Saccharomyces cerevisiae S288C: one gene and its partners. The protein of the gene in region 3 purifies or fractionates together with the protein of the main gene of each other region. This does not show direct contact. Each region holds a gene or a part of one and is shown on either strand. Other genes may lie near its edges. The genes, in order: ATP20, QCR10, ATP5 and ATP3.

The links.
Region 1: the proteins of ATP5 (region 3) and ATP20 purify together in Saccharomyces cerevisiae (affinity purification with mass spectrometry, with the first as the bait; 2 studies listed by BioGRID). This does not show direct contact.
Region 2: the proteins of ATP5 (region 3) and QCR10 purify together in Saccharomyces cerevisiae (affinity purification with mass spectrometry, with the first as the bait; 2 studies listed by BioGRID). This does not show direct contact.
Region 4: the proteins of ATP5 (region 3) and ATP3 purify together in Saccharomyces cerevisiae (affinity purification with mass spectrometry; 3 studies listed by BioGRID). This does not show direct contact.

The regions. Positions count from the first base shown.
Region 1 is NC_001148.4:598,066-600,769, forward strand, and holds ATP20 (F1F0 ATP synthase subunit g), read left to right. Parts: upstream 1-1,804; coding exon 1,805-2,152; downstream 2,153-2,704. Other genes in the region: MCM DNA helicase complex subunit MCM4, read left to right, coding at 1-1,486; AGC1 (citrin), read right to left, coding at 2,584-2,704. UniProt on the Saccharomyces cerevisiae protein: Mitochondrial membrane ATP synthase (F(1)F(0) ATP synthase or Complex V) produces ATP from ADP in the presence of a proton gradient across the membrane which is generated by electron transport complexes of the respiratory chain.
Region 2 is NC_001140.6:105,899-108,679, forward strand, and holds QCR10 (ubiquinol--cytochrome-c reductase subunit 10), read left to right. Parts: upstream 1-1,927; coding exon 1,928-1,933; intron 1,934-1,996; coding exon 1,997-2,224; downstream 2,225-2,781. Other genes in the region: oxysterol-binding protein related protein OSH7, read left to right, coding at 157-1,470.
Region 3 is NC_001136.10:1,057,619-1,060,438, reverse strand, and holds ATP5 (F1F0 ATP synthase subunit 5), read left to right. Parts: upstream 1-1,624; coding exon 1,625-2,263; downstream 2,264-2,820. Other genes in the region: rRNA-processing protein BFR2, read right to left, coding at 1-812. UniProt on the Saccharomyces cerevisiae protein: Mitochondrial membrane ATP synthase (F(1)F(0) ATP synthase or Complex V) produces ATP from ADP in the presence of a proton gradient across the membrane which is generated by electron transport complexes of the respiratory chain.
Region 4 is NC_001134.8:313,752-317,088, reverse strand, and holds ATP3 (F1F0 ATP synthase subunit gamma), read right to left. Parts: upstream 1,515-3,337; coding exon 579-1,514; downstream 1-578. Other genes in the region: FIG1 (Fig1p), read right to left, coding at 1-121; chitin synthase CHS2, read right to left, coding at 2,300-3,337. UniProt on the Saccharomyces cerevisiae protein: Mitochondrial membrane ATP synthase (F(1)F(0) ATP synthase or Complex V) produces ATP from ADP in the presence of a proton gradient across the membrane which is generated by electron transport complexes of the respiratory chain.

The DNA of each region.
Region 1 (2,704 bases), on a different chromosome or scaffold from region 3:
CAGGTCCATCCCCATTAGAGCTAATTCCAGGCAACGCGTACTAAAGTCGTTGTATAAAACATACGTCGATGTGGTCCACGTTAAAAAAGTTTCAGATAAGAGGTTAGACGTCGATACTTCTACTATTGAACAAGAATTAATGCAGAACAAGGTAGATCATAACGAGGTCGAAGAAGTAAGACAAATTACTGATCAGGATTTAGCAAAAATTCGCGAGGTTGCGGCAAGAGAAGATTTATACAGTTTATTAGCCCGCTCTATTGCCCCAAGTATTTACGAGCTAGAAGATGTCAAGAAGGGTATATTACTTCAGCTATTTGGCGGCACGAATAAAACCTTTACCAAGGGTGGCCGTTATAGAGGTGACATAAATATTTTACTTTGTGGGGATCCTTCTACTTCCAAATCGCAAATTTTGCAATACGTTCACAAAATTACTCCTCGTGGTGTGTATACTTCGGGTAAAGGTTCATCTGCCGTTGGTTTAACTGCTTATATTACAAGGGATGTCGACACAAAACAACTTGTTTTGGAAAGTGGTGCATTAGTATTGTCTGATGGAGGTGTTTGTTGTATTGACGAGTTTGATAAAATGAGTGATTCTACAAGGTCCGTCTTGCACGAAGTCATGGAACAGCAGACTATTTCAATCGCAAAAGCGGGAATTATCACAACACTTAATGCCAGAAGTTCTATTTTGGCCAGTGCTAACCCAATTGGTTCACGCTACAACCCCAATTTGCCTGTGACTGAAAATATTGATCTACCGCCCCCACTACTTTCGAGATTCGATCTGGTCTATCTTGTCCTTGATAAGGTTGATGAGAAAAATGACAGAGAACTAGCCAAACACTTAACAAATCTTTACCTGGAAGATAAGCCCGAACATATTTCTCAAGACGACGTGCTACCAGTTGAATTTTTAACGATGTATATTAGTTATGCAAAGGAGCACATACACCCAATAATCACCGAGGCCGCTAAGACTGAGCTTGTTCGTGCTTATGTAGGAATGAGAAAGATGGGTGACGATTCGAGATCCGATGAGAAGAGAATCACAGCTACCACAAGACAACTTGAAAGTATGATTCGTTTGGCTGAGGCGCACGCCAAAATGAAATTGAAAAACGTCGTAGAGCTGGAGGATGTTCAAGAAGCCGTTAGATTAATTAGATCAGCCATAAAAGATTATGCAACAGACCCTAAAACCGGTAAAATCGACATGAATTTAGTTCAAACAGGTAAATCAGTTATTCAGAGAAAACTACAGGAGGATTTGTCAAGGGAAATTATGAATGTTTTGAAGGATCAGGCATCAGACTCAATGTCATTCAATGAGCTTATAAAACAAATCAATGAACACTCTCAAGATAGAGTTGAGTCTTCTGATATCCAGGAAGCCTTGTCAAGATTGCAACAAGAGGACAAGGTCATTGTCCTTGGCGAGGGTGTAAGGAGATCAGTTCGCCTGAATAACCGTGTCTGATGCTGTCTACTACAATCATTCCCTGCGTAACAATTAATAAATACTAATTAATTATAGCAAGTTTGTATTTTTTACATCCTTATGCTTTGTAACACTATTCAATACTGTATGTAGGCTCGATTGAGTGGGCGGCTTTTTTCTTATTCCTGATTGGCTGAAAGAAAATATTGTTAAACGCACTAAATTTATCCCGAAGGATGATTACATTTAAAGACCGAAAAATGAAGATGCAAAGATCCCTCATATTTTCTACTCCAGTCCAAATCGACAAGATAAACCTGCCGATAAATCATATTTCAGAACGCTAATCAATTCATCATGCTAAGCAGGATCCAAAATTATACCAGTGGGTTGGTTTCTAAAGCAAATCTTTTGTCATCAAAGGCTTTATACTATGGTAAAGTCGGTGCCGAGATTTCAAAACAGATTTATTTAAAAGAGGGTCTTCAACCACCAACTGTTGCCCAGTTCAAATCAGTGTATTCGAACCTTTATAAGCAGAGCCTAAACTTTGCTCTAAAGCCTACAGAAGTTTTATCGTGTTTAAAAAACATCCAAAAGAATGAACTATTAAAATATGGCGCATATGGTATTCAGTTGATAGGGTTTTATTCTGTCGGTGAAATAATTGGAAGAAGAAAATTAGTGGGATATAAACATCACTAAGCTTTTTAATTCTATCTATTCGCAAAACCCTTGTATATTCGTTAATTAAATTAAATCAATGTACAAATAGAACAAAACTAGAAAAAAGAATATATATTCATCTCAATTCTATTTATTTTCTTTTCATGACATACAATGGCATTAAAAGCGATATCGAGTTATATTACATTAGCTTCTTGCCGCCAGTTATTTATGAAATAGGCCAATATAACTTTTCTGTAAAAAAGAAAACTTGACCTCAGAGCTTTCATTACACTTATTAAGAACAACATACTTGTTGCACTATAGTAAAAACTACAGTGAAATTGATCTCAGGATCATTAGTAATTTTTCTCACTATAAGAAAAAAAAAAAAACATATATTTTGCTATGAATTATAATAAGTAAATATATACATATATATGTACAGAGAAACTGACGAAGAAAATAAATCACCCGTTAATGCTTCTTAGGTGCTCTTGAAAGTTTTTATAAACTGAAGAGTCAAACCTAGAAAAGTTATTGTCCAAATCAATGAATGTTTTCGCAATTTGACAGCTTTTATAGTAATAA
Region 2 (2,781 bases), on a different chromosome or scaffold from region 3:
TTTTTCCGAGGTCACTCGCAAATCCAGAATTCTAAAGGATGAAAGTATATTTTCTGAAATCGTCAACAAAGAAGGGATGTGATATATTCAAAATGGAAAGATTCCTCCTTCTTTCATTTAGAAATAGGAAACTAACCAGTAAATTAGAAACAAAGAATGGCTCTCAATAAACTAAAGAATATACCTTCTTTAACAAACAGTTCTCATAGCTCAATTAACGGCATTGCATCCAATGCTGCAAATTCCAAACCAAGCGGAGCAGACACGGATGATATCGATGAGAATGATGAATCTGGGCAAAGTATTCTATTAAATATTATTTCCCAGCTGAAGCCAGGTTGTGATTTATCTAGAATCACACTTCCGACATTTATTCTGGAAAAAAAATCGATGTTGGAGAGAATCACTAATCAATTACAATTCCCAGATGTTCTTTTAGAAGCACACTCCAATAAAGACGGGCTGCAAAGGTTCGTTAAAGTGGTAGCATGGTACCTAGCAGGTTGGCACATTGGGCCCAGGGCTGTGAAGAAGCCCCTAAATCCCATTCTTGGAGAACACTTTACAGCTTATTGGGATTTGCCTAACAAGCAACAAGCCTTTTACATTGCAGAACAAACGAGTCACCATCCTCCTGAATCTGCGTATTTTTACATGATTCCAGAATCGAATATTAGAGTTGATGGAGTTGTTGTGCCAAAATCGAAATTTTTAGGAAACTCAAGTGCTGCAATGATGGAGGGGTTAACTGTATTGCAATTCCTTGATATCAAGGATGCAAATGGTAAACCAGAGAAATATACTCTATCGCAACCAAATGTTTACGCAAGGGGAATTCTGTTTGGCAAGATGAGGATTGAATTGGGAGATCACATGGTCATTATGGGTCCTAAGTATCAAGTGGATATTGAGTTCAAAACAAAGGGCTTTATTTCTGGTACCTATGATGCAATTGAAGGTACAATTAAGGATTACGATGGTAAGGAATACTACCAAATTAGTGGTAAGTGGAATGATATTATGTATATCAAAGATTTGAGGGAAAAAAGCTCTAAAAAGACTGTTCTCTTCGATACTCATCAGCATTTTCCTCTAGCTCCTAAAGTCCGCCCATTGGAGGAACAGGGAGAATACGAATCGAGAAGGCTTTGGAAGAAGGTTACGGATGCGCTGGCTGTACGTGACCATGAAGTAGCTACAGAAGAAAAGTTTCAGATAGAAAACCGCCAAAGAGAGCTGGCCAAAAAGAGGGCCGAAGACGGCGTTGAATTTCATTCAAAACTATTTAGAAGGGCAGAGCCAGGTGAGGATTTAGATTATTATATTTACAAGCACATCCCTGAAGGGACCGACAAGCATGAAGAACAGATCAGGAGCATTTTGGAAACTGCCCCGATTTTACCAGGACAGACATTCACTGAAAAATTTTCTATTCCGGCTTATAAAAAGCATGGAATCCAAAAGAATTAGGCTTCTCATTCTATTTTAATTATACTAGTACGATTTCTCACTCTGTAATTTAATATCAGTGTAATATGCACCTAGTTATGGGTAGTTTTTGCTAACGTTACGAGCCGCGAAACTGTCCTCAATCTTCACCACTACCTCTAATGACTGAAGAATGCTATGCGATATAACGCTGTCGCACTTTGAATATATACTTATATTTACATAGTTTTCAAGTGCGTATTACTATTGCAAAGTAGTATTTTGTCACGTGATTTTGATCCAATTAAAACTAAATATGGTTCAACCCGTTGTTTCCGCATCAAAAAACCATACCATTTATCAAGGGGACGGGATATATCACATAACAGTTTGAATGCATAATTTGTTATAGATATCTTCTGGAATAATCTTCACAGCAAAAGCGCAAGTCGAATAATATATCGATAAATACAATCCATAAGACTTAAAACTAACCTCAATGGCGGTAAGTATCCTATCATATTATGTGAGCTAGAACCGAATTAGTATACTAACATTTATAATACAGTACACTTCTCATCTGTCTTCAAAAACTGGTCTACATTTCGGTAGACTTTCTTTAAGAAGTTTAACAGCTTATGCTCCGAATTTAATGTTATGGGGTGGTGCTAGCATGCTTGGGCTATTTGTATTCACAGAAGGATGGCCTAAGTTTCAAGATACGCTATACAAAAAGATTCCGTTGTTAGGACCTACATTGGAAGATCATACTCCACCAGAAGATAAACCTAATTGAAGCCAAAACATCCAACCGGCTGAGTGATTTTATTTATTTGTTTTACGTTCTTTTCTATCATTTTGGAAGAGGAATTAATGCAAAACACATTTGTATTTTTTTTTATTTTTGCATATTCTCGATTATCTATACATATTTTTAAACTGGATCATAAAAGGTATAAAAAGTAATTGATCCATACAACATTTTTAAATATTTACCCCTCTATTTTCAGAATATTTACTAAAACATCAGTTATCAAAGAGTAGGGAAAAGTTAACTACAGGTTTGTTTTTCCTCTTTTTATGTATCTTTTGAGCTTTGTAATTGGGCAGCACATCTCTATGTTTTCAGGGAAACCTATTTCATTCGCCATTTTGATGATTTAGGCATACGCCAATGCTAACGCCGTTTCTTGTAATTTCTATTTTTTCAAATGGAGTACTTTACCTTCCTCCCGCAGCTGGAACTTTCAACCCGCCGGAAGAAAAGACCAAATAATATTATAATTAATATTTAAAACCCTTGAAAGATCATCTCTTAAAATAACCTCAAATAGTGTAAATCCAAGCACTTGA
Region 3 (2,820 bases):
GATCTTTTTTTGGACAATTTATGCTTCGCCACCTCTTCATTTTGAGTGATATGATCGCCAAGTTGGAATTTTATTCTGAAATTTATCAACCGATTGAATAAATTATTGAACAGTTTTTCGTTTTCCTTCAGCAAACGCTTTGTTTCCTCTGAATCATCCATTTTAGCCTCTTCCCAGGACTCTGTAGTTAATGGGAGCTTATTTGCTGCAATTACAGCTTTTTGTAGTTTTATTCTCAAATCAATGATGTTGTCAAATAATTTTGTCTGTTGTAAAATGGAATAACCCTTCGAAGCATCTCTTTGAACTGATTGAGACAGTTTGTTAATAGCTTGTTTAGTCTCTTGTTGAATTAGTTTCGATAGTGCATGCCTTTTCTGTTGAGCCTCCTCCGTTTCACCGCCGTCCGCGTCTGATTCTTCTTCATCAATCTCTACTTCTTCATCTTCAGAATCTGTCCTGAATGAAAGAGCATCTTCCTCTTTTTCTTCTTCCTCTTCTTCTTCTTCTTCTTCGTCCTCATTCTCGGAAACTTCTTCATATAATGCTTGTCTTGAACCTTTAACACCTGTATATTTTGGATCGTTTAGTTCTAAACCTTTTTCTGCTCTTAACTTAGACTTTTCCACCTCCAAATAGTGCGCCTTCTTGGTTTCTTCTGTGTTGCTATTTCCATAGTCGCTTAAATCACTTTCTCCATTTTTTTCATTGTGTTGAAATAAAGATGCATTTTCCTCATCTTCAATATCGAAGTCTTTATTGACCGGTTTAATGGCGATATCGGAAATTTGATCCGCTAGTGATTTTTCCATCTTTTTTTGCTCTATATTTATTGGTAACAGTGCTTATTGTTACTCAATGTATGGTACGCTGCATACCTATCAAGATGCGACTACATATATACAATTATCTCATCTCATCGCGTATTGAAAAATTTTCCATCTTCTAATTTTTCAGAACCCATAAATTCGGGTAACGATCAGTGGAAAAAACTTAAATCCGCAGTAATAGGCTTGCAAAGGACCAAAGACAGCATATGCAGCAGTTAAGAAATCTAAGAATGCATTGTATATTAGAGTAGTATATGGAAAAGCTCGGACTGGGAGCCGTAAAATCTCTTTCCCGTAAGATCTGGCTGCAAACCTGGTCTACATAAATGTAGTACATTATAAGGGACTACCAAGAAATACGAAGCGCTCAGATATCTCTTAAAGTTCATTTTTTTGCCGGAATAATCTTGGTTTAGTAACTTATAAAACTACTTACGTCCAATAAATCGTTATATTTTATGCCGTCGTCATAAAGTGGACACTTTCGAGAGACGGTGCTGGCCAATAAGATGCTGATATTTGAAATATCATTTACCCGGGCCCGGGTGGGAAAAACAAGGAATTAAAGATAATGAAGTGATCTTTTGGCGAGATAGTAAAACTTTCAATTATCTAGGAACAATTTCAAACGCCAATTGTTAACTTTGTGTACAGTATTTCTAGTTTTTATCTCATTGAAAACAAAATTCAGTCAACTTGGAAATTTAAGCAGGCTACTGTGGCATTGAGATATTTTTCCGCAGAGTAAGAACCGATTAGCAAGTTACCGCATTATTTTTAAACCGTGGACAATCATGTTTAATAGAGTCTTTACCAGGTCATTTGCATCAAGCTTAAGAGCTGCTGCTTCCAAAGCTGCTGCTCCCCCACCGGTGAGATTGTTCGGTGTTGAGGGCACTTACGCAACAGCTTTATATCAGGCCGCTGCAAAGAACTCCTCTATTGATGCTGCCTTTCAATCTTTGCAAAAAGTTGAAAGCACAGTCAAAAAGAATCCAAAATTAGGTCACTTATTACTGAATCCTGCATTGTCATTGAAGGACAGAAATTCTGTCATTGATGCCATCGTGGAGACTCACAAGAATTTGGATGGTTATGTCGTTAACCTATTGAAGGTTCTTTCCGAAAATAACAGACTGGGATGTTTTGAAAAAATTGCGTCTGACTTTGGCGTTTTAAACGATGCTCACAACGGGTTACTTAAAGGTACAGTGACTAGTGCTGAACCATTGGATCCTAAATCTTTCAAGAGGATTGAAAAAGCTTTGAGCGCCTCCAAATTGGTGGGGCAAGGTAAATCTTTGAAGCTGGAAAACGTGGTTAAGCCAGAGATTAAGGGTGGTTTGATTGTAGAACTTGGTGACAAGACTGTTGACTTAAGCATTTCTACAAAGATTCAAAAACTGAATAAGGTCTTAGAGGACAGCATTTAACGTTAATAATATAGTTGGATATGCTCAACTCGTTTGATGTTACTTTCTTTGCCTCCCTCCTAATTTTTGATTCTGTTCAAATATATATTCTTTTCCGTGAATTTTTCCTAAACATCAAAATTACGTACATATACGAATAAATAAGAAACCCCTCTAAAAAGTGAATTTTTTTGTTCGAGACAACCATTTTAATCATATATATGTTCGTGTATCCAGGCAAACTTATATTAATCGCAAAAAAAAAAATTATAAGTGTATATATGGAATAAACATAAAAAATAATAAAAGAAGAAAAAAAAAAATAATGAAGAATTCTCATCAGTTTTCGAAGATTTCAAGAAAGTCCGAAGAACATTTAAGACCTTTTTGATAATTCAAGATGTGCATGCACAATAATAACCATTTCATAGTTGAATTTTGATGTATTCTTTCGTTACAAATCAAATATATAGTCAAAGTCACGCCTATACACTTAATAATATGTCTTGATGTATATAAATGGATAATAAATACAAACGTGGGAAGTCGGAGACATTGCCTTTACCCAGCAATTGAAC
Region 4 (3,337 bases), on a different chromosome or scaffold from region 3:
ACGGGTTGTAACAGCCGATGAGAAGAAAAATCAAAAGAAATATTGAAATTAAATTAAAAGCTAATGCAAATATTCTGGGCATACGCTTGGTAAAAAACCAAATCATTGAGATTGCGACCATTTTTTTTTTTTTTTTTTTGTTTGTTTGTTTGTTTGTTTACTATAATTTCTTCTACCAAAGACAAGCAAGAACCTGAGATAAAAAACATTTAACAGACATTTTACAAATATATACCAATGTCTTTGTTATTTCAACAGCACTATATATTGTTTTCATTTTCTTGGTTCGTTTCATTGCTACTTAGCCATATTTTTTTTAACTGACACATACATGAAACCATCATAATCTTAATGGGAAAAAATCCTAAAGCGAGAAGGACTTTCAAAAAAAAAAAGTTTTAAAAATGTTATAATTTTTGTATTTTACCTGAATATATAGTAGTGTTTAGTATTTATTATCTTTCCTTTTCTATTTAAGGTATTCTTTGGATATATACTTCGTCTCATCAAGTCAAAATTCGTTTCATGTTCTACAAAAACAACGTCAAATAAAGAGGCAATGCAGGGTGATTTTTTTATCATCCCAAAGAGGAAGCACCAGTAATAATATCAACCAGTTCATTAGTAATGACAGCTTGTCTTGTTCTGTTGTACAAGATAGAGTAACGATTGATCATATCACCGGCATTCTTGGAAGCGTTATCCATAGCGTTTCTTCTGGCGGAAATTTCAGCAGCATAACCTTGAGCCATTGCTGTCAACATTTGGTTAGCCAAAGTATATTCAAACAAATCTCTTGGAACGTTTGCGTCCGTGTCGATCTCAAATTTGCCGAATGATGGGGATTGTTCAATGGTCTTGGCGTTAAAGATCGGTTTTTCAGATGGTTCAAAAGATAGGGAAGACACTGGGTCATTGTAGAAAATGGAAATCTTTGGGTAAGTGCCGGCCTTCATGACACTCAATAACTTATCGGCAATCAAAGCAGATTCTTGGAAAGTTGGGGCATCTTTACCAATTCCATTAATAGACAATTTAATGTTGTTAGGATGGGTTCTCAATAGCTGCATTTTAATTTTATCACCAATAGTGACTATATCGGCGTTTGGTTGATCATTCAAATGTCTTCTCACAGCTTTAGCCAATTGAGAGTGGATAGAACCACACAACCCCTTATCAGAGGTGATAGCAACAATCAACTCTTTAGGAGCACCTGTTTCAGTAGCCTCAACATCCAAATTTTTGGTTTCGGCGTTCTTGTAAAACAACTGCTCTGCTTCATCCATCTTCTTTGCGGAAATTTTAGCCTTTTCAGCTTTACTCAATCTTGTAGATGCAACAATCTTCATAGTTTTTGTGATCTTCTCAATATTTTTGATAGATTTCAAACGCATTTCCACTTCTTTCAAAGTAGCATAAGTTCTCACTGGGTTAGTCTTATAAAGAATACCCACTTGCGCTTGGTGGCACATTACGGAGCGTGTTGCATTGTTTGATACAATTCTTGACAACATGACTACTAAATAAAATAATGTTTACTGCTCGTCTTCAATTGTTTCCACCTGAAATTAACCAAAACGGTTCAGTCTCAATAGTTTCTTATTTGTCTTTTTTAACTGAGTGATAATCATTTAAGCATCTCCCTTCCGGGCCTTCTTTAATCGTTATTGCGGTCCGGGTTCCTCGCGTAGTTACTCGCCGCTCATTGGTTCTCCATCACGTGATAAACATTTCTTCCAAATAAATGAGAACGTTCATTAAATATCGAATAATTCACTTATTATATCTCCATCATATACTTACTAGTTCTAGCGACAGCTCCTATTCATATATCTTCTTACTTTTTTTTTGTTTTATCGACAATTGCTCTACGTTTCGACGTCTAGAAAATGTACTAAAACAGTGCGCTCTCTACCCATAAGGATGAAGAATACGTAATAACAAGAGTTTATTCTCCTTAGTATGTATTTGATAGCACACTCAGAAAGATGAGTTACTACTTGGAAAATCTCAAAAGCTCTTGATGCCCAGCTCATACATAAAAAAACGCCGGAGAACTTTAGCGTCACCAGTTACTGCGACACGGCTTTTAGAGAGGAAAGTAAAGGTCTATGAGTAAAAAGATAGATTATGTTATGCTACATTATATTTGGTATTGAAACATGTATATTATATATAAAAAGTCTAAGAGAGAAATGTCAAAATATCCTAGAAGGTAATGGTTGTCATAACCTGTACATTCTAAAACAGAATGAGAAAAAAGAGGGAATGACGAGAAATTAGCTGAAAAATACTGGCATTAGCCCTTTTTGTGGAAAACATTTGGTAAGTCTAATTTAGAGACTTCCCATGAGCCGCTACCTTCAACTTTATTTCTGTAACTCACTATTATACGCAAGTATTTCATGAACAAAAAGGCCATGGAACCAACCACCCTAAAGGCAGCTAAAGCGGCCACAGACCATAAAATGAATATCAAATAACCATTGTCAGTATCTTGTGGTGTAAAGACTTGAATTATAGACATGATCAGTATTAGATTTGATAGCATCCAAATCATCACAATTCTGGTTCTTATATCTCTATAATAATCATTCTTGGATTGTTTTTCATTGCCGCTTGATTCTTCAAATTCTGGTTCTTTCAAACGACTTTTTATTTCCAAAAACTTCTTATCAACTTCCTGAGGCCAATCTGTTTCCACAATCTGTTTCCCATCTGGACCTTGAACGACAATGGCCTTGGACAATTGCTTGGACTCCTGTGTGGAACCTTTAGTACCCCAGGAAACGTCGTGTGTATTACAGAAGGCAAAAATCTGTAAAGTACACGTAAAGGCGGGAAGTGTCAAAAAGTATTGTATGGATGATGTAAACATGTGCCAAGGATCTAGGTACATCAGTGATGAGAAAAAGTATAGGCCATAGGTGGAGAGCAATGAGATAACGATGTCGACAAATATTTTGTGGGATTCCGTTCCAGAAGCTAACGACTTGAAAGCAAAAACAAACCCACAAATTAGAGAATATGTGGCACATATAGACAGTATAACCATGGAGGTAATGAATAAATGTTTCGCGCCCTGGGGTCTATTACCCATGGAAATAATGAATAAACTTGCCAAGTCACAAAAGATCAGGTATTTAAAAAAAATGAATAAGGCCTCACCATGTTTAATAACTAAATTCATTGATCCTGCTAAATAATAAAAGGTAAGAACGAAATTTGCAATAGAAAACCAGGAAAAAAGCATCTGAATAAATTGATAAAGGAATTCAACATGAAGAAAGAACTTGCGTACAACAGAATGTTTAGTTTTCCAAATTTGGTAGAAATG